Linked DNA regions of Diceros bicornis minor. The protein of the gene in region 2 binds, or shares a complex with, the protein of the main gene of each other region. Links are inferred from orthologs where the notes say so. Each region holds a gene or a part of one and is shown on either strand. Other genes may lie near its edges.

Evidence for each region.
Region 1: the proteins of FGF23 (region 2) and FGFR4 are in contact, whole or in part, in a cryo-EM structure (PDB 7YSW), measured with the Homo sapiens proteins. The link is inferred for Diceros bicornis minor from reciprocal best matches to the Homo sapiens genes FGF23 and FGFR4. Residues at the interface, in NP_065689.1 of Homo sapiens: Leu32, Gly33, Ser35, Trp36, Gly37, Tyr43, Ala45, Thr46, Ala47, Arg48, Asn49, Ser50, Ile75, Arg76, Ser77, Glu78, Asp79, Ala80, Gly81, Val83, Val84, Tyr93, His117, Gln118, Thr119, Asn122, Gly123, Tyr124, Asp125, Leu158; in NP_001341913.1 of Homo sapiens: Glu156, Lys157, Lys158, Leu159, His160, Ala161, Val162, Pro163, Asn166, Asp240, Leu242, Glu243, Arg244, Ser245, Pro246, Lys272, Val273, Tyr274, Ser275, Asp276, Ala277, Gln278, Pro279, His280, Ala308, Asp309, Ile310, Ser312, Gly336, Asn337.

What each region holds. Positions count from the first base shown.
Region 1 is NC_080740.1:90,303,782-90,319,956, forward strand, and holds the start of FGFR4 (fibroblast growth factor receptor 4), read left to right. Parts: upstream 1-8,705; 5' UTR 8,706-8,795; intron 8,796-11,418; exon of another isoform or gene 11,419-11,473; intron 11,474-14,608; 5' UTR 14,609-14,661; coding exon 14,662-14,752; intron 14,753-15,393; coding exon 15,394-15,657; intron 15,658-15,748; coding exon 15,749-15,829; intron 15,830-15,962; coding exon 15,963-16,129; intron 16,130-16,175. UniProt on the Homo sapiens protein: Tyrosine-protein kinase that acts as a cell-surface receptor for fibroblast growth factors and plays a role in the regulation of cell proliferation, differentiation and migration, and in regulation of lipid metabolism, bile acid biosynthesis, glucose uptake, vitamin D metabolism and phosphate homeostasis.
Region 2 is NC_080756.1:57,132,277-57,148,427, reverse strand, and holds the start of FGF23 (fibroblast growth factor 23), read right to left. Parts: upstream 6,180-16,151; coding exon 5,984-6,179; intron 919-5,983; coding exon 815-918; intron 1-814. UniProt on the Homo sapiens protein: Regulator of phosphate homeostasis. Inhibits renal tubular phosphate transport by reducing SLC34A1 levels. Up-regulates EGR1 expression in the presence of KL. Acts directly on the parathyroid to decrease PTH secretion. Regulator of vitamin-D metabolism.

The DNA.
Region 1 (16,175 bases), on a different chromosome or scaffold from region 2:
CAGGGATGGCTAGATCCAGGTTCTGACACAGTGTCATCAGGAAGAATTTAATCTTGCTCTACTTTCCTCTGTGTGGCCTCTCTCCAGACTGCGGACTCGCTCCAGAAGGAAACAAGATGGCCACTGGCAGCACCAGGCTTATATCCTGATATATTGGCAACTGCAGTGGAAAGAACATCTTTTTCTACTAGTTTCAACAAAAAATTCTGGGACTGACTCATCCAGCTTGGTCCTGTTCCCTTCTCTAAGCCAATCACTGTGGCTAGGAAATGGTACTCTGGTTTGGGGCCTGGGAAGGAATGAGCTCCACCTAAAACAGAGAGAGAGAGAGAGAGAGAGATGTCCCTAAAAGAAGGAAGTGTGGGCTCCTTCCAGACTAAGGGAGAAGAATGGATGTGGGTAGGCAAAAATAACTGTTGTCAACCATACCCAGAAATTCTTTATTTAACCATTTCTTTATTTTTCCCTAACTTTTTGAGATACAACATACATTTAGTAATATGTGCAAATTTTGAGAGTTCAGTTTGATGAATCCTCACATGTCTACACATCTGGACAGTCAGTCTCCAGATCAAGATACAGAACATTGTCAGCTCCCCAGAAGGTTCCCTTGTTCCACTTCCTAGTCAGTATCCCTGAGAAGTAAACACTATTTTGACCTCTATCACCATAGATTAGTTTTGCTTGCTCTTGAATTTTATAAAAATGGACTCAAACATACATTCTCTTGTGCTCAATATTATGTCTGTGAGATTCATCCATGTTATCGTGTGTATCAGAAGTTCAATTTTTTCCTGCTATGTAGTAGTACGTTATATTCTACTATTGATGGACAATTGGGTTGTTTCTAGTTTTGAACTATTATAAATAAATCTGTTGTGAAAAATTTTTTATGTGTCATTTGGCATGCATGTCCACACATATACCCAGGAGTGGAATTGCCACATCATAGGGTAGGTGTATGCTTAGCTTGTCTAGATACTACCATAATGGTTTTCCAAAGTGGTTCTACCAACTACATTCTCACCTGCAATGTAAGAGAGTTCCAGTTGCTCCACATCCTTGTCAGCACTTGGTATTGTCAGTCTTTCTAATTTTGGCCATTCTGATGGCACTCAGGAATTTGAACCCAAGGGTCCTGACTTCATATCAGGGCCCCTCTTTCTGTGAGCACCCCTGAGATCAGGTTTGAATTTCTCTAGCCTGGAATGGTCTCGGATGTCAGTGCCCAGGACCCATAATACACAATCCAGCAGGTAAACACCAGGGGGAGCGCCTGCCTGTGGCTCTGGTGGCCAAGGAAGGTCTCATGGAGGGAGAGGCGTCAGCCCTGGAGAGGCAGTCTGGTGTAGAACTCAGGCTCTGAATTGGGCAGCCAGGGCAGATCCCAGCTCTGCCATTGCTAGGCTGTGTGATCTTAGTTAGTTGACCTGTGCCTCAGGGTGAAGCATTAGTACCTACCTTACAGGGTTATTTTGGGAATTAAAAGAATAGATAACATATGACACAATTACAGTGCCTGATACGTGAGAGATGCTATGTAAATGGTGACTGCTGTTGTTTCTGTTATCAGCCTGAAGTAAGCTCTGGGTCTCCCTGGGGAGGTGAGTCCACAGCAGAGGATTCTGGCACAGCCCCCTGTATTAACACTCAGTGAGTTATAAAATGCTAGAAACATAAATCAATCTGATGGAGGGGGAAGAGGGGAGGCAACATGCTGGCCAAGGTGGTTCTTCCCTGGGCTCCAGCAAGAAGTCACCTTCCACTGCTAGGGAACCTCTGCTAGGGAACCTTATTGTCTGCAGCCAATGACACCTGAGGAGAAGACGAAATGGAATCATGCAGTAAAGCTCTTAGCGCAGGGCTGGATGCAAAGCAAGTGTTGGGATGTAACAGCCCCTCAATGCAGACACAGAGCTGTGTATGTATCCATATAGCAGCTGTGAGGCATGTCATGGGGAACACTGGCCTGGAATTCAGGGTCCCTGGGCGTTGGTCTGAGCCCTGTCACCAGCTTCATGTGACCTGAGGCCTTGATATTTTCTGTGAAGTAGAAGTTGGAAAAAATCACTGTTCCCAGCCAGAGTCCTGAAGAGGTGGTGATGGGCAGTTAGGAGTTCTTCCCAAAGAAGGTTGAGAAGAAAGCCCTTCTCTCACGGCAGCCCCTGCCAGATGAACTGCGCACCCCTAACCAGACCTTCTGATTGGCAGTCACTAGTGTCAAATACAGTAGGAAAACTTCTCCCTCTGACCATCTGGCTATCTAACAGCCACACCTATTCTACCCTGTGCCAAGCCCACATTGCAGAGAAAGCAGCCTCGTCCCTGCTCTGGCACTCCCAGGCTCGCTGTCCTCCACCAATGCTGCTGCATCTGTCCAGGAGCTTCAAAATGCGCAAGAAACCTTATGGTTCTCTAAGTGGGTCAACTCTAGTGCAATAACCCCTCTAGCCACTAGGTGGAGGACGCTCCTTTTTTGCTAGGCAAAATAAACCAGCTCTGGGACCCTACTGTTTGATTTGATGCCCGAATGAATAGGATGACTTCCTGAGCCCTATATTTGATATTTCATTTAGCCCTCAAGACAACTTGAAAAGGCTCAGTTCACAGGAGAAACTCAGAGACAAAGTCGCGCAGAGCTTACGCAACCAAGAAGTAGCCAGGAGAGATTCGACTCACATGCTCCCAAGTCTTAGCACACCTGCTATCTCTACTTCCAAAGGTGGGCTCCCCCTTCAGGAGAACACTTCTGTTTGAGGGCTGCTTTAGTCACCTGTCTGGGAGCACACCTGATGTCTGGCCTGTTCATCAGCCTTTCTTTTACTCTTTTCCCTTGGGTAACATCTCTGCTCCATTTTTAGACCCTGTGGTTCTGAGAGACTGACCCCTCCCCCTGGCTCCAGGGGTGAACCTGTGACCCAGGCCTGGGCAATCAGAATCATAAGTCTGGAGCTGTTAGTAGCTAACTTTGCTAAAACATAGGGACAATCTGCCTGAGAATTAAGGCAACACAGAGGAAAACCGAGCTGAGAGATGAGAAAAGACTGATTTCTGATGAGCACCTGGATCCAACCATGCTGAAGCTAATACTCTCAGGACTTTTTAGTTTTGAGTTAACAAATTCCCTTTTTCCTTAAGTCAGTTTAAGTTGGGTTTCTATCACTTACAACCAAAAGTTCTGCCTAATACATGCTCCACCTCCCCTTATCAACCTGGAGCCCTGCACTCATCCTGAGAAGATCGCTGACCCCGAGGCTGAAGTGGCTGCCCTTCCATGCTCCCAGATGCCCTGTGCCCCTCCAGCATTGCCCTGAATGTTCTGTGTTATGATCTGTTTAATTCCCTGTCTCCTCTTTTAGATTAGAAACTCTTTGAGGGCAGGAACTGAGTCTTATTCATCATACTGAGTCCCTGGTGCCCAGCATAGGACTGTGATTGTTTTAGTAACTGCTTGGGATTGAGTAAATTAATGGATAAATGAATAAAGGTGGGTATAGGCTAGTAGAGACCATTGGTGGGATTTCACAGAAAGATTTCTTGAAGGACCTGAGCCTTTAGTGGTTATCTAGGTCAAAGGAACCAGGTCACTGGGGTGGGAGGAGAGTTAGTGAGGGGTTGTGGGGTGCAGTAGATCATAATGGCCTCAATAATTTCAATAATGGCCTCTCATGAGTCTTCACCTCCCTGTGTCTGTGCCCCTTTGCAGTGTGACTTTGTCACTCCAGCCATCAAGATGGGGAGTCCATTTCCCAACCCCTTGAATCTGGACTGGCCTTGAGACTTGCTTTGATGAGAGAATGCAGTGATGTGACATTGTGCAATGCCCAAGGCTAGGTAGGACTCAGACCTTGCAGCTTCCACTCTTGCCGCTTGTGAAAGGAAGTCTGGGCCAGAACACGTGGAGGTGAGAGACCACGCGGAGAGAAAGGCCAGCAGCTAGCTCCATACATGTGAAGGAGGCCATCTTAGACCCTCCAGCACAGTGGAGCCACCAGCATAAGTGACCTCAGGAGAGACCAGCAGAACTGCTGAGCTGACCCCAGCTAATCCACAGAATCATGAGCAATAACAAAGTGTTTTAAATCACTACATTCGGGGATGGCTTATTATTCAATAAAGGCTCCCGGAATCACCAAGTATAGTAACCATATCTTGTTTTGGCCTCCTGGTATCTATTTACCTTTCTTCCTGTAATAGGATTACCTTGAGGACCCCCACCCTCAGCTTATGTGGTCTGGGTGGGGATGACCTCTACCTTCCTGGCTTCTGCTAGAACTATGGGGAAGGAGTTGCTAAATGGGAAGATCTTGAGCCCAGAGCTGTTGACAGCCTTCTTTGTCACCTCTTGGGGAGCATCTGCCACAGAATAGAGCCATAGGGAAGAAAGCAGAAGAGAGAATTGGTCTTGATCTAGCTGTTCCTGAAGCCAAATCCACTCTTGGACTTTAAAATTGTATAACCCAATAAATTCACTATCTTGCTTAAGCCCATTTGAGTTGGGATATCTGTGAGTTGCAAATGAATGAAAATGTTCCTTGAGGGTCAGAGAGTTTGATAAGGGCTGAGCAGTCCCTGTCAGAGAGTTGTTAGGGTAAGACAGAGGTCCTTAAAGAATGTGGGAAAGGGAATTTATTTTTCCTCAGCCCCTACTGTATGTCAGGGCCCTGGAATGAGAGACAATCTTTGTCCTGGAGGACCTCATGGGTACAAATGACTCATTACAATTGTGATAAAGTGCTGCATATAATAGGAAGACTGAGCCTAAGGCTGGGAGTGGGGCAGGAAAGTTCCCCTGAGGAAGTGACTCAAACTGAGATTTGGAGGATGAATACAAGTTAGCCGGTGGGTGAGGGGAGAGAGGTGAAGGGAGATGTTCCAGGTAGAGGGAACAGCATGTGCCAAGGCCCTGAGGCAAGAAGATGCTTTTCACCTGGAAGGAGGGATAGTGTGTCACCAAGTAAGGAGAGAGACTGGCAGGAGCCAAGTTCCTCAGGACACATCAAGATTTTCAGCAAAAAGCAACAGAAACAAACTCCAGCTTGTTTAAGTTCACGGAACTACCAAGAGGACTAAAGAACTAGGGTCGGGGTACACGACCAGCATCCCCCTGTATCACATCACAGAACGGGTGCAGAAAGGACACCTTTGTCTCCACCAACACTAAGCACTGGACACTACTGCCTGTACCACTAGCCCAGCCAGCCTGGAGACTGGACAGGCTCCCAGTGCCCCATGCCCAAGAGCTCAGTCCTGTTACCATGGCCCCACCAGGGAACATTCCTCCTGGGCCTCCCTAGCCCAACTCCTGGGCATCTTTGGTTTTCTGGAATGGATGCCATGATTTCGCAGAACTGAGCCTTAGCTGGAAGAGAGATTGGAGGAGTAGCTAGCATTTTCGGCTTCTGTCATGAGAGGTGAACTCTGCCACATAAAATGGGGATATTCCCAAACCTAGAAAAGGGTTCAGATGACAAATGCCAGGGTAAGAGCTCGTCTTGTGGTGGTTCTAAAATATGTCTGCAAAATTTTTTATATTCCTCTCTTCAAGAAGTCAAGTTTCATCTCCTCTCCCCCTACCCCATTCCCTGCCCCCATGAGGGCTGTAATTAGTGACTCACTCCTGACAATTAGAAGAAGGTGAAAATGATTGAGTGTGACTTCTGAGAGGAACTTGTGCAAGACAGCACAATGTCAGTCTCCTCTTGGCTCACCAGCTCTGAGGGGCACCAGCCCACATATCATGAGGACACTCAAGCAGCCCTGTGCAGAGGCTCATGTGAAAGGCAATGGAGGTCTCCTGCCAACAGCTGGCCAAATATTTGTTACTTTAAGCCATTAAGTTTTGGGGTAGTTTGTTATGCAGTAACAGATAACTAATACAAGTTTTTATCCTAAAAGCAATGGGAAGGCATTGAAAGCTTTTAAACAAATAAGAGCAATGACATGATGAATTTGCTGACATGTAAACAGATGAATACTATGGCCTAGGAGCCGACAGAGGATAGTAGAGACACAGAGGAGGACGGGGTAATTTCTACTGGGGAGGACACTTTTTAGGAGCCTTTCATCTATAGAGTTAAAAAAAAAAGGTCAGATTAGCTTAAGAAAAAAATTATTTCACTCATATAAATGAAATGTTCAAAGAGGTAATTTTGGCCTCAGGCATGGCTGGATCCAGGCATGCTGCATCTCCTGGCCCTCTTGTTTCCTGTGTTGGCTTCATTCACAGGCAGGCTGTCTCAAGTAGTTCTAGGCTTCCATAGTCATACCTCAGTAACCTCTGAGCATGTTAGTTTCCCACTAGTTCCAATAAAAGGCCCAGACTGGCTCTCGTTGGCCCTGCTTGGGTCACATGTTCATCTCTGACCCAATCACAATAGCCTGGGGGATGGAATCTTCTCATTAGCCAAGTCCAGGGGCACATGCCCACCATAGGAGCCAGGGAGAAGTGTTGGCTCCACCCAAAACCCCAGCGGACTGGGAGTAGGAGAGAGCCAGGACCTCAAAGAAAATTGAGGGGCTGTTTCCAGAGAGAGGAAGAGGGTTTAGATGTCCAGTTCATGGTGGTCAGGGAGGGTCTCAGAGAAGAAGGAATGCATGAGAGGAGTCCAGAAAAAGGAATGGCAGGCACCTGGGGGGATGGCTGGAGGGAGCCAGAGAGGCACTGGCAGCAGCAAAAGCAGCAAGGGCAAAGGCACAGAGCTGTGAACATTGGGCATGCTCAGGAGGGCCTGCTGGAGCTCAGTGCAGCCGGAAACAGAGCACGTGTCTCTGGCGAGAGGGGAGACGGCCCGGGAGAGAGCAGCAGAGGCCAGGGGCCCTGAGTGCCGCTCTGAGGAGCTGGGGATGCCCGTGGGTGGTGAGAAGAGAGTAGTCAAAGCTGAGGGTTGACTCGGTTAGGTCTGTGATTTAAAGAAGCCATTGGGGCTGCTGATGAGCTTGGTGACGCAGAGACTGTTGGGTGCCTGCCCCACAGTCAATCAATCCTTCTTTTTACTCTATTAAAGCCCTGGTTTTGTTAGGGGAGGCAATGCGTCCAGCAGAATAAACATGCTTCCTGGCCATGTGTCACAGTCTGGCCAAGGAGATAAATAAAATCAGAAGTTGCTGGGTGCAGATTCAACCCTTTTGTGGCTTCTTTCTTCCTCCTGCATGAGCACAAATGTGATGGCAGGAGCTGAAGCCACCAACTTGAAACCATGAGGGAAAAGTCTAGAGAATTGAAGAGACTGCAACTCTGACTTCAGACCCACTTTCACCCACCTCCAGACTTGGGGCTAAGTGAGGGATGAATAAACCCCTGTTTTGTTTAAGCCCTTGTTATTTGTGCCCAAACAAAATCCTATGTGGTCCAGGTGAGCATTAGGCAAGATAGAGAAGGGTGAGGGCCCCTCTGGGGCTTGTTTCCTGATTCCCTTCAGACCACAAACCCTCTAGCACTTCCTGCCCAGCCTCTGCCACTTCCCAGGTGTCCTGGCCCCCTCCCTCCTCCAAACAAATGTGCATGCCAAGATCCAGGGGATGTGAGGTTTGTAGGCCCAAGTCTAGAGAGAGCTGAGTCTGGCAAACCATGAAAGCCCCAGACACTCCCTGTCCAAATAAGCCAGGACATGGGCCCACAGTATCTGGGACCAGGGAACAAGGGGACCAGGGGAGCTGCTGAGATGCTGGGTAGCACCAGGACTAGCCCAGAGAGAGCCTCAGATCCCTCCTAGCCCATTCCCCTCCATCTGGCTTGTTCTGAGGGGCCTCCCCAAGAGCTCTCCCAGGCTGCCGACATCAACGCCAGGCTCCCGGCCTCCACCACAATGCCCTGGGCAGCCTGCAATTCATGGCTTTGTTGTCTCCAGAGTAGAAATTCGACATAGATGTGCCCAAGGGGTGGGGAATGCGGAGATTTGAGGGCTGGAGAGGGTGACCCTCACATTCTTCCCTCTTGGTCACAGGAGTGAGTTTCCCATACCTTCAGGTGGGTCCCACCCTGGACCATCGTTGTTAATATGAATATCTGCCACTCTTTACTGAACATGGCTGTGTGCATTAAGCTTTATATGCAGCACCACACTGAGTCCTCACAGAAGAGCCATCATTCCCATTTTATAGAAAATGAAACTGAAGCTTAAAGTTAAGTGACTTGTCCAAGGTTACAAAGTTTTCAGGATTCAAACCCACATCTATCTGCCTCTAACACCCAATATTTCACCACTCAGTTGCTGTCAACGTCACCTCAATTTTAATGAGCCAGGCCAGGCCCCCCCGGAGCCTGTGGGAGAAGCCAGGATAGAAAAGGGTTGGAAAAAATGGTAAAGTAATAACAACTGTCAATTCTGAGTAGCCACTGTATGCTATTACCCTGGGTAACTTTTTCTATATTTCAAAACTTTCTGAAAATACAAATTGTTTTAAAAGAAAGAAATGAAGGAGAGAAGACAAGAAAGCGCAGGACTGGGTCAGAGGCTGGGGCCGGGCTGGGGCTGGAGCGGGGCCGGGCAGGGGCTCAGGGCAGCCCTTCCGCACAAGAGCTGCACTGTTCCAGGGCCCGGCTGCCATCCAAGAGCAATACAGTAGGCACCAGGCAACGTCGGCCCCCTCCCCCCAACTCTGCTCCCAGGCAGGTGAGGGGCGGGGCATGGCCTCAGGAACCCCTCCTGGCCCGGCCTGGCATTCCAGGAGCCTCGGGCCTGGTGCTTCATAGGTGCCCCATCAGTACTGCAAATGGGCAGGGAGAGCAATACCCAGCCGCAGCCTCCACACACCCTCCCCTTCAGGTGAATCTCCACCTTCCAGGGTCACAGGTAAGGATGGGGGCAAAAAGTGGGCCGATGTGTTAGCATCCACAGTCTCAGCTCTGTGGACAGTCACCCTGAGCTCTCTCTCTTTGTCCCAAATGATTAGGGTTCAATCTCAGTTCTGTTCACTTGCTATGTGAATTCAGACAAGTCATTCCATTTGCCTGAGCTTCTGTTTCCTCACCTGCAAAACAGAGCTAAGGACTCCTACCCTCATTTGGCTGACGGGAAGATCAAAGGACTTAATGCCCATATACTGCCTGACCTTGTATGATGCCTGGTATACAGGGGAGCTCAGTCAAAGCAAGGACTTCTTCCCTACTTCCTGTTCTGGTGAAACCCATTCCCACCTCTTAACTCATTCACTTCTTCCAACACCCCTGGGGAAAAGGGGGCAGGAGTGTGCCCATTTTCTGGATGGAGAAACTGAGGCAGAGGCAGGCTAAAGGCAGGATCTTAGAATGGCAGGCTTCTGAACCCCTGCTAGGGGTGTGTGTGTGTGTGTGTGTGTGTGTGTGTGTGTGTGAAAGTCTTTGAGAGAGAGACTGTAAATGCAACTGGTGAAAGATTGTTAACCAAAGAGTGAGCCTGTGACGGGCAGACGGGCTAGGATTCCTCTCCCAGACAGCCTTGGCATGCCTCCTTCTGGGTTCTGCTTACTTATCTACCTCTCCCCACAATGCCAGCAGCTCCTGGAAGGGTGGAGGCTGGGTCTGATCACTGCTTTATCCCCAGGATTTAGAACAGTGCATCCCACATATTGAACCCTCAATAAACAGTAGACGAGTGAAGGAGTGAATGAATGACTCTGTGACAGAGCGTCAGGCTCTGCAGAGGGTCAGTGTGAGAGGCCGTGAGTGTGGGAGGGGGGCTGAACAGGGGATGTGGGGTGGAGGGGTGAGGTTGCCAGTCTAAGGGTCTTGTGTGTCTCAGGGGGCAGGGAGGTTGCACGACCTGGGCTATGAAAGCCTCTACTCTGCCTTTGGCTCAGGCGAACTGGGAAAGCGCCTGGAAGTTGAATGAAAGCTGTGTAGGGTCCAGCTCCTGCTGGCAGCTCACCCACCCCCAACAACCACATTCACTAAAGGGAGCCAGCAGGGACCAGAGGCAGGGAGCTGAGTCTCTCCAGGAGTCCAGGAAGCCTGGCGAGGCCCCTCTGGGCAGGAGGCTCCCATTTGCTGCGCATCTCCAGTGCCAGGAGCCTCAGCCTGCCCGAGTGCTCCAGTGAGGAAGGACCCTGGATGAGGGGAATCAGGACAAGCTGTTCTTAAAAGTTAGCCAATTGTCTGATTTATCTTTGGGAGGAGGCCATTCTTTAGTTTGAGAAGGAAAAGAAAATCACTTTAATGCGCCTTTTAGTCATACAAAGGAAAATCCTCTATCCCATTGGGAGTAAGAGTGGAGAAAGCGGAGACCTCTCCTCATAACAATGGGAACGGAAGCTGCTTCCCCCAGGGCAGAGTCTCCACCAGCCAGAGGGCTATGTGGGAAGGGGAGCCTGAGACCCCAGGGGAGGGGTTTCCTTTCTCCTCAAGGAACCTTCAGAGGAGTAGAGGGCTGGGACTTGAGGTGAGGGTTGTGCAGAAGTCAATGGTTGGCTGGCCTCCTGTTTGGCCACTGTCAAGATGCTCAAGTGCTTCCAGGTGAGGCAGACCTGAGCCATGTGGGACAGAGCGATTCCGGCCCACCCACTGTGTGCCAGGCACTTGAGACACAATGGTGGGGTCTGCAGGGAGTTCCTGCCTTCTGTTTACAGAATTAACTCTTTAGTTACAATTCTGGAACGTGTCATGAAGAAATAATGGGTCCTAAATAATCACGGCTAACACTGCAAAGCAAGTGCTATATGTCAAGCAGTGTTTTAGAACAACAGGCTTACACATACCAACATGTCTACTTTTTGCGACCATTTTGTGTGTGTGTGTGTGTGTGTGTGTGTGTGTGTGTGAGGAAGATTGTTCCTGAGCTAACATCTGTGCCAGTCTTCCTCTATTTTGGTTGTGGGATGCCGCCACAGCATGGCTTGATGAGCGGTGCCCGAGGTTCCAAACCAGCAAACCCCAGGCCACGGAAGCGGAGGGTGCAAACTTAACCACTACGCCACTGGGCTGGCCCCTGCTACCACTTCTTGAGGATACTATCATCACACCTGTTTCACTGCCGAGAAGAGGAAGACACAGAGATGGAGTAACGTCCCAAAGCCACTTGTGATGGTGCGAGATCGGAGTCCTGCGATGTGTGATCTGAACCACCTCCCTCCCAGCTTCTTTCTCCATGCTCGCCGAAGAGAAGCCACCAAAGAGGAACGTGTGGGGCCAGCCCGGTGGCGCAGCGGTGAAGTGCCCACTCCGCTGCGGCGGCCCAGGGTTCGCAGCTTCTGATCCCGGCGCGCCCCACATAGGCTTGTCAAGCCACGCATGGCAGCGTCCCATATAAAATAGAGGAAGATGGGCACAAGGTTAGCCCAGGGCCAATCTGCCTCAGCAAAAAAGAGAGGAGGATTGGCATCAGATGTTAGCTCAGGGCTGATCTTCCTCACGAAAAAAAGAAAAGGAAGACGGTGGCAAGTCCAGAAGGCTTCTCCGAGGAAGCGAGCTGAGACCTAAGAACGAAACGAAGCTAGCCAGACCTAGAGGAGAAAGAGCATTCCAGGAAGCAGGCACCACGCGCGCAAAGGCCCAGAGGTAGGGTGGGAGCAAGGAAGAAGTGAATGAAGGACTCGTCTGGAGATGTGGGCAGGGCCAGGTCACGTCAAGAATCTTTATAGGAAGCTGTTGGAAGGTTTTAGAGGGGAGGTTGTGGTTGGTACAGTCGGGTTTGTATTTAAAATACCAATCGGAAGGTGTGCAGAGGACGGACAAGGATGAGGGCAGAGGGGGTCTGCTAGCCACTGTCCCGCGATTGCGCAGAAGGCAGAGCAGCGAGGCTGGGCAGAGGTCTGCGGGGGCGGGCGGGTTAGGACTGCTGGGTCTCGTTCCCCAAGGGGTGAAGAGCAGGAGACAGAGCGATGGACTAGAACTTGGGAGCCTGGCCGGGGCGGGGCAGGAGAGGCGGAGTCTGAGGGGGTGTGCGGCAGGCTGGGCCCGGGCCCGGGACTGGGCTGACCCGATCTGCCGCTCTCCGCTGTCTGGCTCCGGGACGGGTCTTCAGGTGGGCGGGACGCGGTGCCACCCGCCAGCACGCCGCGGTCAGGATAGAGCTGGTCCGGGCGGGGCGGGGCCCGAGGTGGGCGGGGCGCTGGCCCCCCGGCCACGCCGCTGTCGCGGGTGCATTCCTGGCTTTGCGGCCCGGGGCGGAGGGACGCCCGGGCTGAGTGCGGTCCCCGCTGGGCGCGGGGTCGGGGCTGGCGGGAGCTGGCAGCGGGGCCGCGGAGGACCCAGGTGAGCGAGGACCCTGTGCCGGGAGCTGAGCCGCGGAGGATCGAGGTGACCGGGACCCCATGCGGCCCAGGCTGCGCTCCCAGCCGCCAGGGGGCGAGCGGCGGCTGGGTTCCTGGAGCTGCCCCCTCCCAGCACTGGGGACCTGGGCGTCCGCTTGGCGGGGGTTGGGGGGACGGTAAATCAGTAACCCGCAGTGCACACAGGGCCTTTTGTCCCGCTCCGTCCAAAGAGCACCCTGGCCGCGGAGCTGGTTACTCATTGCCCACCGGGGCGGGGGCGGGCCGTCTGTCTCTGCAGCGCCCCCTCGGAACTGCGGACTCTCACCTCCCCCCAGAGTGGCCGGGTAGGGGTGGAGGAGGAGAGCGCGCTGGTCCCTCGGCTGCTGGACCTTCTGTGCGCCCCGAGTAGAGATGAGGAAGATGAGGCTCCGAGAGGTGCAGTCATGGGCCCAGGGTCCCCCTGCCCCTGACTGCGGGAGGCTGGAGGAGAATCCAGGCTGCCTGATGCCAGAGTGAGGCCCTTCGGCCCCACGTGCAGGGCAGTCGGCCGGTCATCGGCCGACTGTGACCCGACTAAGGGCCCTGAGGTTCTGAGGTCAGGACAGCCTGGGGGTGGGAATAAAATCCTCGGGCCCCTCCACCCCACTCCCAGCCGCAGCTGTGGACCCAGAGAGACGACCTCCCTGCAGAGCAGAGCTCGGGTGGGGGAGGGGGCGCTGGTTTACAGAGGAGGGGCCATGGAAACTGGGGGTGGGTGCAGAGATGGTGGCAGCCAGCCAGGTGAAGAAGAGAAATGGAGACCACAGAGGAATAGGCAAGAGAAGATGTGCCCAGTTTTGAAAGGCAATGGTTCGGTATTCAAGAGGCTGAAGGGGCAGACTGTGTGACCAAAGACATTGACAAGGGCAGGCAGGGAGCCTAGGATGCATGATAAACAGTGTGGACTGGATCCTGCTGGATACAGGCAGCCATTAGGGGCTTGTAAGCTGGGGGAGGGGGTGACATGGCATACTTGTAATCTTTAAAACCTTGCTGGAGACCAGAGGCTGAAGAGCCCAAGGAGATGTTTGCAAAGGCCCAAGCTAGAGATGACCATGGCCTGCCCTGGGTACAGGCAGGGGAGGTAGGATGGATTGGAAAGGGATTGAGGAGGCAGAATGGACTGGAAGGAGGGGAGGGGAGAGGAGAGGGCATAGACAGAGATGATGCCCCAGCTTCCAGGAAAACCCACTGAAGGAGCAACTTGAAGGGGAGATAATGGCTTTGGCCTGGACAAGCTAAGTGCCCCCTGCCTCAGAGCCAGAGCTGAATGTGTTTTGGAGGGAGGTGGGAAGGGGAGGGGGCAGTGGCTGAGAAGGGAGGGTGTGATGGGCTTCCTGGTCAAGGTAGATCCAGAGACACCAGTGTCACCTGACAGCCAGCCCCAGGTAACAGCCAGTGGGCGCCGGGACTACACTGGTCACCTATCCTCCCCTGCCCCAGCTGAGGCTCAGTTTTGAGTGTTCCTTTTGGGGGATGGCTTCATCATTGGTGGCATGTGGAGGAGGGTAACAGGATGGGGTGGGTGTGTACTTCAGCGCCAGAACCGGAGGTGACTGGCCGTGGGCAGATCCAGGGTGACAGTCATGAGGAGGGGGAGAATAGTTCAACATTCTGTGTGCCCAGCCCCTGCCTTCAATATCTCTTATCCTCAGAGCTGTTCTGAGGACAGCAGCCCAGAGAGGGGCAGGGACTTGCAAGTTGATAAAAGTCAGGTTTTGAACTTGGCTCTATCAGACACTCGAGTCTACATTCTTTACCACGGTGTGTGTTGCCTCAGATGGAGATATGGGGGAGGTAAAGCAGAGGTATCCCCAGGATGCAATTCTGGTTTAGAATCAGGAAGAACTTCCTGCTTGCCATAGGATGTCCTGCCTTGTTAGTAGTGAGCACTGTGCCACTGGAGATAGCCAAAGTGGGTCAGGGGAATGTCAGCAATGCTAGAAGGAGTGGGGGTCAGATCAGAGAACAGCCAGATGCTGAAGTTTGGCCTTGTATTATATTTCAGATTGGCAGGGGGGAGGCTCTTTAGCAATAAATTCATTTATTCAGCAAAAAATAAATTATGTGTGCTGAAAGCGAGCAGAAGATATGTCTCCATTCTCTGCTTCCCTCCAAGGAAAGAATCCCAAAACTGCCCTTTCTGTGAACTTGTGCCAGGGTCTCAGCAGGACAGGAGGAGAGCAGGAAGCCCAGCCCAGCCCCCCTGCACGACCTACTGTGGGGAGGCCTTGGGCTCGGCAACAGCAGAGCTGGTTCCCGTCTCTGCTCTGCCGCTGGCCGGCAGGGGGCTTGGACAAGTCGGCCCACCATTTCATGTCTCAGTTTCCTCATCTGCAGGAATAGGGGGTAGTGCCAGCGAAAGTGCACACACGCAGGAGCTCTTCTCCCTCCGTTTCAGGAAGGCAGTCGGTGGGAAGCCCAGCCTGGGTCCCCGGGAGCAGCAGGAAGGAGATGCGGCTGCTGTTGACCCTGTTGGGAGTCCTGCTTGGGGTGCCCAGGGCTCCAGCTTTGTCCCTTGAGGCCTCTGAGGAAATGGAGCTGGGTATGGCCGCTAAGGTGGGAGAGGGTGGCAGGGGTAGGCACCTGGAGGGGGCTGCTGGCTGAGCAAAGCTGGGAGGATCCTGGCCCAGGCCCTGGGGAGGTGGCAGCAGGGCAGGACCCAACCATTGAGACTTAGTGTCTGGCTCCCAGCAAGCATCCACTTGTCTCTGTGTCCACAAGAGAGGACTGGCCTTGCAGGGCGCAAGGCCCTGAGCTGGGCTGCAGAGCTGGTGTGGTGAGCCCCTTGGCCGTGTGTGTGTGTGCGTGCTGTGCACTGAGCGTGTGGCTTGGGAGGCCCAGGCAGCATAGGCGGTGTATACACTGTGAGTATGATGTGGCCGGAGGTGTGGCATGTGCCCTGTGTGTGGCACCTATGGCGTGTGCTGTGTGTGTGTGTCTCAGGCAGTGGCATGTCCAGTCCAGCATGTGTGCTCCGCACTGTGTGTGATGTGCACCAGAGGCGTGGCATTTGCTCTGCACCTAGCGTCTGTAGCATGTGGTTGTGTGTGTGTTGAGGAGCTGCAGGTGTCCAGCATGTGTCATGAGGTGCTTGTGCCCCGTGTGTGCCGCATGTTCTCCGTATGCAGGGGGCTGCCTCAGGAGAGGCTGTGGGGCTCACTGACCTCTGCCCTTGGTCCACAGAGCCCTGCCTGGCCCCCAGCCCAGAGCAGCAAGAGCAGGAGCTGACTGTGGCCCTTGGGCAGCCTGTACGGTTATGCTGTGGGCGGGCTGAGCGTAGTGGCCACTGGTACAAGGAGGGCAGTCGCCTGGCACCTGCCGGCCGAGTACGAGGCTGGAGGGGCCGCTTGGAGATCGCCAGCTCCCTACTGGAGGATGCTGGCCACTACCTCTGCCTGGCACGAGGCTCCATGCTTGTCCTGCACAACGTCACCTTGGTTGTGGATGGTAAGGGGATCTAGCAGGGGCTAAGGATTGCCTGGGGAGAGAGACCCTCCCCATCCTGGACCTCAGACGCCTCCCTCTGTCCCTGACATAGACTCCCTGACCTCCAGCAATGGTGATGAGGACCCCAAGGCCCACAGGGGCCCCTCGAATGGGCACGTGTACCCCCAGCAAGGTCAGTATTAGTCCTCAGGGACTCATTTCCCTACCTCCCAGCTGGTCACTGAGAAGAAGAAACCTATGTGGAAGCAGGATTGAAGCAGGTGGTCATCCTGGGGCACTAGGTTCTCCCTTCCCCTTCCCTCCAGCACCGTACTGGACACACCCTCAACGCATGGAGAAGAAACTTCATGCAGTGCCTGCTGGGAACACCGTCAAGTTCCGCTGCCCAGCTGCAGGCAACCCCACGCCCACCATCCGCTGGCTCAAGGATGGACAGGACTTCCACGGGGAACATCGCATTGGAGGCATTCGGGTGAGTCTCTGGGTTCCAAGACCATCAGCTCCTCCATTTTCACTCC
Region 2 (16,151 bases):
TCACATATTATTTCATTTAATCCTCAAACTCCACGAAGTATTTTACAGATGAGGACTATCTATATGCCTATATGTGGTTAACAGATATTGATGACTGATTGACTGATGGTCTATATTTGTTCAACAGGTATGTATCTACCGTTACAGGTGCTGGGACACAGCAATAAGCAGAACAGAGAGCCGTTGCTCTCATGGAATTTCTAGGGGGCCTGTCTGGTAGGAGGCTCCTGAGATAAGCAGTCCTACTATTTTACTATCTCAAAATCCTTTGGAATATGCCTGCAACCTGCCATTTGGGAAATCCTTTGCTTCCCAATCTGAATGACCAGCCATCACGGTTGGGGCAGAGATCATTAATTAGAGATCTTCAACCGGAGGGAGCTCCCCTGGGCATGTGGTCCATGCCACTTGACTTTTCCAGGTGAGGATGCTGACGTTTGGAGAAGCGAGGGCACCTCCCCGAGGTCGGGGCAGTCTAGCACAGAATCAGGAAGGCCCAGCGGCTTCTCCTGCTTCCCGCTGCACTTGACAGCGTGAATTTGCGTGGCTGGAGGACCTGGTGCTGCGCTAGAGACAAAAGCGGGCACCAACAGGTGGTGCAGACTGGGGCTGAGAGCGTGGGCTGCAGAACCAGACTGCCTGGCTCAACCCCCAGCTGTATGAACCTGAGCACTTAGTCCTTAGACTGAATAAAGCGCTCAGTGAGAACATCACCAAGGAACACTGCAAATGGAACCTTTAGGTTATAACATTCTATTTTCTGTCAGAGAAGTTAATTATTTGCCAGTGGTGACCAGCACAGAAAGAAACTCACTGATCCAAAAATGTTTCCTCTGAAGTCCATACAGAGGTATCTCCTGCTCATCACACCGGTTATCACCACAAAGCCAGCATCCTCTGATCTGATCATCAGGGCACCTACGGAGAAAATCAGTCAGGTCAAATCTCGCTACACATCCAGTTTCCTTGTTCAAGCACTTCCTGAAAACGCATCTTCGTGAAACCTACCTTGACTGATTGTTAACCGTGGTGATGATTTCACTTAGCCCTCCCCTTGTACTTCCTTATTCAGCCTCATTTCTTCTGGCTGTCCCCCCCTTTCCAACCCCCTACTCCCCCACATTTGCGTCCTGTGTCATCCTCCTGCCTGCACGGAGCACTCTGAACTCACGGCATTCTTTCACCTGTGCTGTACACGTTTCTCTCTCTGCCTGGACTGAATTTACTTTCCCCTTTGCCTGGCTAATACCTCTTAATGTTTGTGGTGGTGGTCACATTCTTCCAAGCCTTCTGCTTTTGTGATTTTTAAGTCTATGCCAAGATGTCTTTCAAAGATCCGGCTTGCATATAGAGTGTGATTCTCCACCCGAGTAGCTGGGTAATAGTCTGCCACGTGTCAGTTAACACCCACTAGGTGTCAAGAACTGCATTAGAATAGATATTACCCTCCCTTGTCTGCTTGTTGAAGTCACCCATCCTCCAGGGCCAGGCTCAGAAGTCACCATATCTATGAAGACTTTCCTGATCTCCCTAATCAGAATTACTTGTTCTTTCTTCTCAGCTTGCTCAGCATAATGCCTACACCTCTATTACACACCACAGTATTTCCACATGCATCTCACTTGGCCTCACAGCCCCCAGGGAGGTAGCCCAGGCAGGGGTTTGAAATGCTCTTCTGTGTGCAGAAGGTTGTAAATGCCCATCATCTGTGCCTCGTGGGTGATTTACAGCTGAACTCTCCTCCCCTACCCCATGTAGGCTCAATACAAAGACCTCGGAGGAGAGTAGCAGGCCGTGCTTAGACACTAGCTGAGTATAGAGCCTGATGTGGACTGAAATTGGATTGATGTGGGACAGAGAGAGTGAGCAGGGGAGCAAGGCCAGAAAGAAGAGGCAAGAAGAGGGCCAAAGAGAAAACTAAATTTGTTTCCAAGTTTGGCTGAGGGTTAGCCTTGAGGGAAGCTTCTGGAAGTGGAGGGGGATATGGGAGGTACAGAGGATATTTAAATTATCACAAAATGGGGTCTGCCTATGTGTCTCAAATTTGTGGCTAATTTTATGGTAAGCCCTGAGAGAAGTGTAAGGAACACGTAAGAAAGAGTTTCTGTGCTGATGAATTTTCAATCTAATTGGGGAAAACACTACACTTAGTAACTGTTTTTGAGTGGTTGCACTCTACGTACATATTTTAAATTGTCGAAGCAACTGTTCTGATGTTAATATAATTAGTATTAATGCTAGTAGTCACAGCATCCTAATTTAAGTCACAAGGAAACTAAGGCAGGATTCAAAGTCAGGTCAGTGACTCTAACATCCTCTTCCTACGACCCTGTAGCCTGCCTCCCACAGAAATCATTACAGGCGTGAGAAGACAAAACTAAGTGCCACAATTCATGCCTGCAGACCACAAGAACCCCAAGTTGTGTGCCCCCAAGTGGGTCAGGGAAGGGGCGCTGAACCAGGACCCAGGGTACTTGGATTCTGGTCCCAATTATGTCCCTCACTGAGTTTGTAGCTGTGGGCAAGTCGTTGCTCAGTTTCCTCAGCTGTGAAGAGAGAACAGTAGAAGCCGTCTTGCGTACTTTACAGGGTTACGATTCGAATCGAACGGGATGAGGGTTGTAAAAGTGACATGAAAGCATGGAGCAAGTGGAGGGCATTATATAGTATGTGCTGACCTGCTGTTTGTGACAAGCCCAGATCTTGGCAGTCATGCTGGCCTGATGCCTGAGTCAGTGTGGGCAGTGTGCTTAGTACACATGCTCCTGGTCACCAGGGCCAGTCCCAATAGAAAACAGCCTGCAGAGAGACAGCGAGCAGCTGCTATGGAGGACGCACACATAAATTAAACCAACATGAGCCAATGTGAAAGTTCAGAAAATAAGAGACGGATTTTCTTCTCTTTGCAGTTTCAGAAGGCAGGTTTGCACAGTCTGCACAGATTCAACGGCAGAAGGAAGGCACAGATCACTGGTTCCTGGAGCCACAACCTGTTGGAGCCAGGCAGGCTCAGCAGACATTTCCTTGAGTGACAGCAGGTGTCTGTGCATGTGAGCCTATAAGAAGCATGGGATTGGGGTCAAGGTGTCCTCTAGGTCATTTACTAACTATGTGACCTTGAGCCAGTTATTTACCTTCTTGAACCTTTGTTTTCTCATGTGTAGTAGAATCATTTACCTCCTTTGGTTGTCTTGAGGATGTAATGAGATAATATTTTTATCCACTATAAAAGCACTTTCTAAATGCTAGAAATGTCTACTGTTGCTATTTCGCCTCAACCTCTGCTATAAAAGTAGAAATTTATCTGCCCCTTTCTATTCTCATAGCCAGTAAATGATAAATAAGATGATAGATATAAAGTGCTTTGAGCTCCCCAAAAGAAAGAGCCCGAGGATAATTCAGCTTCAAGTAAAGAAAGTGCCAGTGGGGAAGGTCGAGGAAGTAAAAACATCAGGATCTAGGAAGTGTATTAACCAGGGGTAATAAGCATCTCCTTTCTGCCGTTTCCACAAGGTGAGAATGACAGGGCGTGGGAGGGCGGCCTCATTCATAGTGGGCAGCTGACATAGACACTGGAGCGGCTCCATGACATCAGCGCTGCCAGTCCCAAGAGAGGTCCTGGAATCTTGTAGGCAGATAATTTCACAAAACCCAAAGATGATTAATCAGGAATTTACTAAAGCACCATAATCAAGTGAACCAGATTTCACTGGAAACTTATAATTAATTAAGGGGGAAAAATCACCCCACATCTTTCCATCAGTGTAAATGCATTGTTTTACATTCCTTGGGGAGAATCTTTCACCAGTCTGTTAAATACTTGTGCCACCCATCTATACGCATCAGTGTTTCCTCTTTCCTTTTTTGGTAACTTTTTATCTTAGTGTATAAATTTTTTTTTGGTAATACACATGATAACTGATTTGAATAGTACAAAAGGTGTTATAAACTAGGAAGTGTCTCCTTCCCACCACGCTGACCTGCGTTCCCCTCCCCATGTTTGTGTTAATTTCCAGAGACACAATGCTTAGCTAGTGTCTATACCTGACAAAACAAAATCACATTTCTGTAAAAAAAAAAAATTCTGAAATCAGTTCAATTCATTTTGCTTCTTCTCAGTCATTTTAATTCAGTCCAACTAGTCCTTAGTGCCTCCTCTGGGCCCGACGCCGGTGGATATTTGAGAGCAAAGTTCTACAAATCAGTACCACTCACAGCCCACACAGCAGGTTGCACTGCTGTGCTCTTTGTCTTGTTCAGGAGGACATGTCTTTGGAGGGTTCCTTTCAGTGAAGGGATTCCATGATTCTAGACAAGTATTATAAGCATTCTTTAGTTGTATGAAGCCCTTTCCATCTATGGGAATCACAATAATTTACCACAATCCACTATCCCGCATTTTAAATCACCTATCATCTTGCAGTGGAAGCAAGAGTGGCCCTCCAGGCGAGGTGCAAAATTATATTTCCTAAAAGTCTGATAATAAGCTGGGAGACAAGAAGGGATGAAAGATCGTGAGGTGTCTGAAGGGCTGTGTCTTCTTGTGCAGTCACAGAGCTTTGCACAATGTCAGACATATTGGAGGTTCTGTTAAATATCGATGGAATAAAAGGAGCAACACTTTGGATGCATCGAATGTATCCAGACTTATTGCTAATGACTCGAACTTGGCTTCCAAGATGTTGACTCTAGAATCCTAGTATATCCCTTTGAGTTCTGGAACCCACTTGGTATTTGGAAATACCTTTTCTCCCTCCTCTCATCTCCTATGACCATCCATTGAGCACCCGGACGGGTGTGAACTCTTGGCTTTGCATGTGCATATATCTTGCCACCAGGTTTAAGGACCTTTGATTCTTAGCAGAATGAATGCCTTACACAGAAAGGCCACAGCAAAATTGCTGATTAATTCAGTACAACAATAAAGAGCAAATCATTATTCCTATAAGAAGTTTTCTTTAATTAAAAGACTATGGTTACTCTTTCATTACTTTAATTTGATCTATATTGAATCAGTTTGCATTTTTCTTATCCTTAGAGTGATTTTTAGATGTTTTCCTAAAATAGAAGACCTTGTCTTTTTCAATATCTCTCCCCCCGCCCACCTCATTATCCCTTATATAGGTGCACACCAAGGGGCCCTCATTTGAATCATAGCTAATTGATTGATTATTGTGGATTGTGATCCAACTTTCCACAAACCTAATCTTGAAAACATTCCAGTTGTCTCATGTTGCCAAGGTGTTCCCAACTAGCTCAATTTGCTACCGAGTGGAACTTTCAGCTCCACAGAGATGAATCACCAACTCATACCAAACTGGGTACTTCTGAAGCCCCCAGTAAACCTGTTGGATGGAAGGATGCATGGATGCATGGACAGATGAGTGCATGGATGATTCATGCACTTGGTCAGGCTCATCAAGACAATATACCTGAACAGTCTGTCTTTAGTACATTTTTCCTGAGAATTTTTATAAGGCTAGAATACTAGAAGCTCAGAGTTGGAAAGAGCCCCTGAGTTCATCTATTCTAACCCTTGGTCTGATACAGGAATCTTCTTTACAACCTCCATTGCTAACCCAGTCCAAAGTTCATGAGCTAAAACGGGATGTCTATTGATCTACCTGGCTTCTTTTCCTCTCAGCCTCTTTGCCTTTCTTTCTGTACATTTTTTGACTCTTTGGACAGGACAAAGAGAAAGTGGCTGCTAGTGTGGGAAGAGGGATTTTTGTTAAGATAGAAATTATTCATGTTGGGAGAAACCAGTAAACACTAATTAGGGATGTGGCAGAATCTTCTCCCAAGGTGTAAAAATACACACACACACACACACACACACACACACACACACATACATAAGTGGATCCTGGGCAAGAAACTGGATTAGTCTTCTGGTCCAGCCCAAGGCAGCCCCAAGTCCATTGTAGCTGGATGGACAGAGGAGCTCCCCCTTCTTCCCAGCCTGAATGAAGCCCCTACTCACTGTAGATGGTCTGCTGGGGTGTGCCATCCACATGGCCGTCCTTGTGGATCTGCAGGTGGTAGCTGTTCCTGGCTGTGGCCGTGTACAGGTGGATCAGGCCAGCCCAGCTGGAGCTGAGCAGCGGGGAGGCGTTGGGATAGGCTCTCACTACAGAGCACAGGATGCAGACTAAGAGCCCAAGGCAGGCCCCCGACATCGCCACTCTCTGAATGGCTGGCACGGAGTTTGAAACCTGACACTGCCTCCTCCACTCAAGGCTGTGCCTTGCTGGCCTTTTCTCCTCTTCTTCCTTGTGGATATCTGGCGTGAGGATCCTAGGCTGGATTCCCTCCTTTTTCCCCTTGGACTTTTAAAGGGTAGCCGTGTGACATCAAACAGGAAAAACTCCACTGTCCACATCCTCTGTGTTGTAATCAGCCCATTTGGAGAGAGTGCAGAGACCTCTGAGGCTCACGGAAGGCACGTCGGTTCCAGACACACACACACCCCTCAATTTCAAGCCAACGCTCCAAAAAGTGAATGATGTGTGGGCAAAAGTTATCTCGGACTCTGGATTGTCTGTTGACCTGTCCCAACTTCCACCAGGAAATGTGAAGGCAGTCAGCGGTTCCGAAAAAAATCCAGCTTCAGCTATGCAGTCAACTGACTTCTATGCAATTAATCTCCTATTGAGTCTACTCATTTTGGTTTTCTCAGTCCTTTTAATTCCAATCGGGGACTATGTATCCAGTGCTCTCTCTGTACACAGCACTAGGTGGGTGTTTTGAAGGATACTGAAATAATACAGGACACCATCAGGCAAATGGCATCCTCCAAGACTGCCTCCTCATAAAGATATGGAAGCTGTGAGCAGAGGCACAAAAACCAACGTTGCCTCCTTGGGAAGATTTCAAAATGGGAGGAAAGAAAACAAGGTCTTGAAGTCACTGCTGCTTTATGAAATGCTGGGATTTGATTTCTCAGTTTCCCTAATTTGGACTGTCTAGGGAGAGTAAACTGCTCTTATTGTCTCTCCAATACTATGGAGACTCATTCAGAGACCTCATGAAGATTGGAAGGCTGCTGACGGAGCACAGGGGATCAGAGACCAGGAAGGTCCCAGGAGCAGAGCAGCAGGCCAGGATGTCCCCACAGTTAGTGTCTACTGGGTGCCTGGCTCCTGGGCCTGGATGCTTTCTTGCAGATGCTGCTCACAGGTATGCCCTCTGGGAAGCTACTTCTGATGTAGGGGGATAGTCCTAGCACATGCAGTCCAACGGGGAGCAAACTACTGGAACACATACTGGAAACGTATATGCACACGGAGACTGCTACTCTACCCATTTCCCATTTGCTGAGTACATACCATGTGCAGGCATCAGGCATCATGGTTGAGAGAAGGGGGAGCAAGATGTGATCATTGCTTCAAGGAGCTCACAAGCTAATGGAGGAGGCAGATTAAAATAAGTAACCGTCATACAAAGCACACTGGGATGTGCGATCACACAGGTGCAGGCAAAAAGAAGTGCCATTTGTTATCCTACATTTGTACGAGTTTTTCTAGTTTATGAAGCATTTTCACATATATTAGCTCATTTGAATCTCACTGCAACTCTGTGAGATAGGCACACCAGGCATTATCAATATTTTAATCTTATACATGAAGAAATGGAGATCTTGGGGTTTGTATGTCCAAAGTCACGCAGCAAATAAATGGGAGAGCTAGGACAAGGTCTTCTGCAATAATAATCACAGTGACAACTAACATTTACTGAGAGCTTACCAGGTGGTTTACTTGTAGTAACTCATTTAATCTTCATAACAGCCCTGTGAGGAGGTGCTGCTGTTTCCTTTACAGAGACGAGGAAACTGGTGTCCACAGTTTAAGTAACGTGCCCACAGGTGTGCAGCCACTATGCAGAAGAGGTCGGGCCTGAAGCTGGGCAGCCCGACTCCAGAGCTCCTAAGCACCGCTGGATGTATAAACCCACACAGCGTGTTAGGGCCGAAGCCGCGAGAGCCAGGAGCCTGGTAAGAGAGTGCAAGGAGCAGCGGGGCCATTGACAAACCAATAGTACTCTTTGGTTTTTCTCTAGTAAAACCAGGATGTGTCTCTAAGATACAGAGTGTTGTCTCCCCCGGTTAGGTAGAAGATTTAGGACATTTAAATGCTTATGTATAAGACAGTCTTCTTTCATAATGGTCACAGTATGGTTCATAAATATAGTACCACATCTTAGCTAACGAAGAAATAGCCAGCTTTCAGAATTGAAATGCAAATCATTCAGGAACATTTGCCAATTGATACCCCTACATTTCCTCTTCTGGTTTCGAGTGGTAGAGGTGGGAAGTACTTGTGAAACAATCAGCACGTATTGAGAAACTTCTCCGAGCAAGAGAGAAGGGAAGAGGGAGTTATAGGAATAAAAAGCAGAACAAACTTATCCTCAAGGGGGTTATAATACAATTGAGCGGAGAAAAACTTGGTTCAATATAAGGCGCTTGTGAGAGGAGCTGAATTACTAGATGTGTAAGAAATGCTAAGGGCGTTCAGAAAAGGGGGAGTTTTCGGTGGGTGGACACTGTGGTTAAGGAGGGCTTGGAGGGAAGAGAGACTCGAGGGAGCCTTGTAGGATGGACAGGCAGGGCGTTTCCCAGCACCCCAAGGCACGCTGGGGCGGGAGTGCAGGTGTCTTGGGAGGAGGGCATGGGCATCGTTCCATTCCTGGGCTGATTGAGGGGGACCGTCCCTGGCCTCTTCAGCTTGTCTTGTTAGGAAAGAGAACTGATGTGCCAGCTTATTCCGCTTCCAAAGACTTCCCTCCAGGAAGAAGCCCTGAATGCCTAGCAGCCGAATCTGAAGCAGAGGACAGCCCAGGGGAGCAGGTTTATTTATGAAGGGAATGGGGGAGGAGAGAAGCATTCCCCACTTGACGAGAGTAAAAGAAGGTACAACACTACTAGAATAATTCTTTCCACCTGAGATATAGGAAATTGAGAGCAGAGACGAGGATTTGCCTGTCAGCATGCAGACAGCAGAATTTCCAGCTCCTGGTTGAACTCCCTACCTGAGGGTTCCAAAGCTGGCTGCCCGTTAGAACCACAGAAACTACCCCAGGACTAATCTTAGACCTACTGAACATGCAGAGGTGAAGCCCAGTTATTTGCACTTTTTTTCAAATCTACCTGGGAGAGTCTAATCCCCCACACTAGATGTTAATGACGCTAAAGTACTTGTCAAGAAACAGACTTTGCATCCCAACCATGCACTGGAATTAGTACACAGAAACCAAGGCCGCTTCTCCATTTGCCACTCCCTTCTGGGATTTCCAGCCTAACTGGGCAGGGTAAGATGTGAACGGTCCTTTCCAGGAAATTTTAGTACTGAACACCAAATCAGTACACTGTGCCTTTGATCCTTGAGCCTGGTGGGTGTGGCATCTCTCAGAAGCATCAGATGGTGAGGGAAGGGAGGGCCCAGGGTAAGTTGGTTTCTGTTCTTTGCATCTAGAGGGCATTCATCTGTCACAGTTCAGGTCGGAGGATCTGGGAGCTAGTGTGACCTTAGGAGCCAAATATGAAACACTGACGGGAGCAGGAAGCCCGGGGAGGAGGCTGGTGGTTTGTGGTTTTCAATATCGCTGGCCTTGGGGCCCTGGTGGCTGCCTGGGAGGTGGCAGGTGGGGACACCTGCTCTTCTCCAGCCTGCCCCACAAGCCACTGCTCCGGCTTCAGGAAAATTTGCCCTGGGGGGCTGCGTAGGGGCCTCTGGTCCAGTCCCTGCATTTACAACCACAGAATCAAGGCTTTAAATATGGGATGGAGGCTATAGGAATCTATATTCCCACAATCCCATTCCTTTCCCTTATCCTCTGACTTCTTTCTCTCACAGTCCTCTCTGGGAAGGTACTAAGGATTATCTCCCCAGATCACATTCTCTCCATGTGAAGACTTTTCAACAATTTTCAAAATATAACGTGTCTTGACTGCTGTGAGGCTGTGATGAAAACATGTTGGAGGCATCAGGGTGAAAGAGCACCGGGAGCAGGGAGGTGATCTTAGGGTGGCTCACGGTTTCCTTTTCTTCTTGAGGCTCTGTGTGAAGGCTCCGTCTGCAGATGGTAGGACCTGGCAGGCCTCTGCTCCCTATTGCGACCTCGTCATGCTTTGTCTCCGTCATTTCCACAACGGTTTCACCGTCATCTGGCTCATCCGGTCCCTAGGTTCAGGCAGGTGGGTGTCTAAGCCATCCAGGACAAATGATTGTTTCCTCTCTTTTCAAAGTTATCTGGGAGGTGCTACAGTCTTCCTGAAAATGCCACTCCCATATCTTATTCTCAGTTAAATATTCTCAGTAATTAAATACTCTCAAACATTTGCTATTCTTATTAAAAAAAAAAACCTTTTATGCTCTGTGTGAAGTGTAAAACAGGTGGCAACGTTTCGTGTTACACATTTGAGAATCGAGGCTTATTTTAAAAAGGGTGAAGTAAATAGCAGTAAAATGCCTAGCCTTCTCATCAACAGTCATTACCGACCTATCCGTGTCAATATTCATAAACTTACCAGATAACTGGAAGTTTGAGCCTGGTGGGTTGCGGCGTCTTACCAGAAGCTGGTAATATGATTATTAATTTATTAATAAATTTATTTCTTAATTATAAATTTATTAATAAATTAAATATTACCATGCAGTATTTAATTTATTTAACTCAGTTAAAATGTGCTTCCTTATATGCAATCAGATTCTTTCTTGTTCTAATATATCCACTCAATCAACATGTAACTATTTAGAGAAAGCCTATTTTTATGGCTAGTACTTTGTAGAAAATCTTTAGAGAAGCCTAAGAATGAAAAAGTACAGTCCTGGTCTTCCAAGTGTTTACAATGTACAGGGCAGAATTTAGTGTGGATTTGCCCAGCCCTTCACAACCTACAATGCACATTCACACCTAGTGTCTCATTTGATGCTCAAAACAGTCCTGGGAGGTGGACTAGGAAGTCTAGACCCGATACCTCCCGTGGGGTCAATCTCCTCCTCTTCCCTTCTTTCCCTCCAAATGAGATGTTTCCATTTCTCCTGCCCAAGATAAACTTTCCAGCTTATTCTCATCATGGTAGCCTTTCCAAAATAAAGGCTCGTGGGAGGCCTCATCTCCAGGGCAGGCCCTTCAACACTCTGGGTGAGGGTTCCTGGAACTCAAGCGGAGTGGAACATCGAGGCCTGGAAAGGAGTTCAAATCCATATAAAATGTCGAGGTGCTTCTCCAAGGTTCACCCCTGCCCCTCCTGCTGATGAACCCCAAGCTTCCAGTGATCTGGTAAGTTTGTAAATATTCACACTGATAGGTCAGTAATGACTGTTGATGAGAAGACTAGGCATCCGAGTGCTATTTACTTCGACCTTTTGAAAATAAGCCTCGATTTTCAAATATGTAACATGAAACTTTGCCACCTATTTTAAACTTAATACAGAGCATAAAAGGTTTTTTTTTAAAATAAGAATAAAAACTGTTTGAGAGTATTTAATTAAAACTATACATATCCGAGTGTTGGTTTGCTTAGAAGTTGAAAGTTTTTCCAGAGAATAAAACGACCACACTGAGTATAAGAATTCTGAAGAACATTAGAAGAGAGATCTGAGGGACAGTGGCCGAAAAGAAGCTGATGCCAGAACGCTGAAGAAAGATGGGCTGGAAATGAGAAGAAGCAAGAAAGCCTCAGGACTTAGTATGACCAAGAGCATCCCTCAAGAGCAAATGCTTTACTGTCAAATGCGAGCTGTCAGGGCCCAGAGCTGAACACATACAATCCAGGCACTTTCTCGCTCCATCACAGCTGAGACACTGCACAATGAGGAGTGCTGGGGACTCGGAGGACACATAAAGCAAAGAACTGCAGCGCAGGGGATTTTTAGGGAAGTGAAACGATTCTGTACGATACTCTAATAGTGGATACATGCCATTATGCGTTTGTCAAAACCCACAGGACTATACAACACAAAGGATGAACCCTAATGTAAACTGTGGACTTTAGTTAATAATCATGTGTCAATATTGGTTCATCAGTTGTAACAAATATGCCATCCTAATGCAAGATGTTGATGATAGGGGAAATTGTGTGCATGGCGGGGAGAGGAGGGTATATGAGAACTCTCTGTGATTTTTGCTTAATTCTTTCGTGAACTTACAACTGCTTTAAAAAATAAAGTCTATTAAAAAACAGGAAAGTAAAACTCAGCAATAGCATTTGCCTCAACAGGTGTCAAAATCTAGTCACCACCTGGAACAATTCATTCCAGGATTAGATAAAGGAAATGTGCTAAACCAGCATATATTTCACTATGTAGAGCTAGTCACTTTTCATTTCTTTAAAATAAGACACAAGCAAATCTCTCACCCTTCCCTGTCACATGTATCCACTTCCCTGTCAAAAATGGAACTCATTTTTTTAAAATCTGTGTGTTCAAGCTTAGACACGTCACTTCCTCTCGGCACCTGTTTCCCCAGCTGCAAACTGGGGAGGTGGGATGTGTGGATGAAATCATCTCTAAGGTTTCTCCCAGGTATTCCCGTCTGGGAGTTTCTCTGGGGGTAGGACACTGTCTTGTCTTCCAGTGCCCCTAAATTGTCTGCTTTATCACCTGCTATGCTAGACCTGGTAACCTGGGAATTACCCGCCTGTGGATGGTGACAGGAAGCGTTCCAATTCTCTGCTGATGGACTTGCTTCTCTCCTCCTGCCTTGCTTAATAATGTCCACACTGGATTAACTCAAGGGAGGCAGATGCCTTTAATCTAGCACTTAATATCATATATATGATTATATATATTTTATAATTTAATATTATAGGTCACTCTAATATCAGTCTCAGCCCAACAGATTTACTCAAAAGTAAATCTAAATGTATAAATAGCACCCTCATTATACATTCCAAAATGCAATACAAATGACTTCTGTCATATCACAGAACCCATGCCACCACTGTTTCGCCTTTGGTGCCGTAATAAGAAGCTTATTTTGCAGGACAGAGGGGTTAAAGCCTTGCAGATGTCTGTGCTGGGCACCTTGGTCAACTGAAGGTCCTGGACGAGCCTGAGAGCAGAGGGCAAAGGAGAAGTCCAAGTGATCGGTCAACAGCTGCAGCCAGGAGTTCCTTTCCTTCCCTCTCAACTCCTCACCGGTCCTTTTCCCCGCTGACACCCCTTCATCCCAGAAGCCCTCTCCTGGCCTCCACCTCTACACCTGTGGGAGAGAAGACGTGTGTCCCAGGTAGGGAGGCCAGGCCTGTGTGCGTGACCTCACAGAAGCTTCACTGTGGGTGATAAGAGCAGGGTTTTGTTCCACTCAGAGCAAAGCCAGAGTTGGGTCAGACTTGGGGTGGGGGGAGCATGGGAGACACAGCTTTTGAATCAAGAATTCTCAGTGTAAGGCTGGTCAATTTGTGTCCCCCTCCCCAAACCCTACACATATTCACACTTTCAGGGGTCTCCTCGACTCCTTTTTCTTTCTCTTCACTCTTTACCCTCCAAGAAAAAAAAAATATTTTTGTTATATTTAAATAAGGCTTCTTAACTTTTCAAAATGCTTTCATAATGGTTATCTCACTTGCCCCTCACAGAAATGGCCCACATGGAGAGGCACTTCCCCCAAGCCATTATTCCTACAAGTCAGTATGAGATCAAGCCTCCCTTGGCTGCCAGAGTTCATGGAGAGAAGTCCTTGCTAAGGTGACTGAGTTCCCCAGCTTTCCCCCCGGTGCACCCCCCCAAGTCTCCTCTTTGTGCCTTTCTGAATCAGAACCTCACCTGGAGCTTTCTGAGCTTGGAAGATTCGTTAATTCTGAATCCATTCCCTTTCCCTATCATTTTCTTCCCCTTCCTCCCCCTACTAATTCCTTCCAACCAAGGCAATCAAAGGGTCTCTTCTTCCCCCCACTTTCCTTTGGGTGTGGGTCATAAAAGCATAGAATCTCATAGTTGGAGGTTGGGAACCTTGGAGATCCTCACTACAGCCTGTTTTTACAGGGAGGGAAATTGAGGCCCAGGGGTGACTTGCCCAAGGTCACATGGCCATGTTAGTGGCAGAGCTTAGTATTAGAATCAGGCTTCTGACCCTCAGCGAGAGTACCTTCCTCCACACCACGCTTACCTTTACTCACTGGGATAAATTCATTGGGAGGGAATCAGGCCCCTGGATCCTGAGCCTGCCTCGTGTCTAGTGGGTGATTCTTTTCATCTGCTTTGCGCAAGGATCTCACGTCTCATTTGTGCCACTTGGAATACAGGGTGCTGTGGAGAAGTGTGTGGTGGCTTTGTGTGCCCTTGGAAAGGGGGTGCTGTGGAGACAGAGGAAATGGCATTCGGGCTTTGGATGAGGATTTCGCAAACAGAGGCATCCTTGCCTCCGTAGTCCTAGCACTGGCCCCGGGGATGGGAAGGTTTGGCTTCCCACAGTTTCCCTTTCCCCCACCTCAGGGACATGAACTTCTCTTCATGCCTACAGCAAAGGTTTTGTCTCTGGCCCAGATCTTACCCTTACCAACTCATATCGCGCAGTGGGAAGAGCAGACCTTGGAAGCAGGAGTCCGCCTTTGGCAAGCTCATCTTCACCTTTATGATTCTCACTCTGTTCTTTGTAGAATAGAGGGATTCAGCTAGAAGATATTTGTACCTTTCTAGGTGAGGGAAGACGGAGCAAGGTCTAGAGCCCTCGGTGACTCTGCCTGCAGGGCCTTGCCAGGCTGCTGTGTTCTCCTGTCATCCTACTCTGCAACTTTGAGCAGAACCAGAGGGAAGACAGTGGTGCTTCTAAAGCTGGAATCTGCCCAGGGAAGGAACAATAGAAACTTTGGACTGCAGAGGAGCCGTGTGTGTGCGTGCATGTGTGTACGCACACACAGTCTGCCTGATCTGATTGGTGCTCAAAGGCTGCCCATGGGAATCCAGCCCACCCTCTCAGGATGCCTGGGGCTTGTCACGCAGCCCACGTCAGGGAGCAGACATCCTGGTTCCCACTCACCTCCTTGGAGCCTGTGACCCAGGCCGGCCCACCACGTTGGGACTCTGCACATCCGGACCCGTGTTATCTCGGGATCCTGGGACTCCTTGGCTCCCCTGCCCTGCCTCCTCCCCTTCCTGTGGACACGTAGCCACCACACACTTCTCGGAGGGTTATTTCTAGCTGAGGGGCCGGTAATTCAGCCCCAGCCTGTCAGGTCAGGCCGTCTGAGTGCTGCAGCTGGGACGGGCCGCCTGACACGCGTGGGTTCAGCAGAGTGCAGGATGTTGGGGCTTCCGGAGGCAGGCATCCCCTCGGCCTGCTGGAGGTCATGGTTGCTGAGATGTGGGGGTGGGGCGGACAGGATGCTCCTGCAGCATGACTGGGAGGAGCTGCGTGTCCATGGGGAGAGGCGAGAATTCAGCCTTCTCACCCCTCCAGCAGTTCCCTCTACTCCCACCCACTGCAGCCCTCTCCCTGGCACAAATCATTTTTCTTTAGTGTAGCTTAGAGTTCACACAGTCCTGAATTGAATTCAGGCCCTGAGTTAGGCAATCTGGGCCAGAAACCGAGCTATGCCCCAGGGTAGGTGTGCCATCCTTGTCAAATGACTTCACCTCTTTGAGCCTCAGTTTCTTCATGCGTAAAAAAGGAGATAATAATTGTACCTGCCTCATTAGATTGTTGGCATAATTTAATAATATGGCATATATAATACTTAATCTCATATTACATGGTCACGTAGCTCTGCTTGGTAGATGGTACATGTTTATTGTTCTTGTTGTTTTTCCAACCCCAACCTCCTACCATAGCCTCAGGCGGTTCCTACCCAGCTCTCACCTACAACCAGAATTCCTCACAGGTGACTTATTGTTATTTCAGAGTTATTTCTGATGCCTGGCACATTTTAGGTGCTTAATAAGTATTTAGTGAATAAAAGAATGAATTTCTCCCTTAGCTGATGCGATAGAAGAATAAAGAACCTGGAATGAAAACCAAAAACATAAAACCTGGGTTCAAATCCCAGCTGCACCCCACAGCTAGTGTTGGGGCCTGACCAAGTAAGCTAGAACACTCATTCTCAACGTCCTCTGGTCTCCCATCTGTCAGGTAGGGATAATGGGTCCTGCTCAGTCTTATTCCCAAGGTTGTGGGAACAAATGGGCAAGGCGTGTGACACTGCCTTGGAA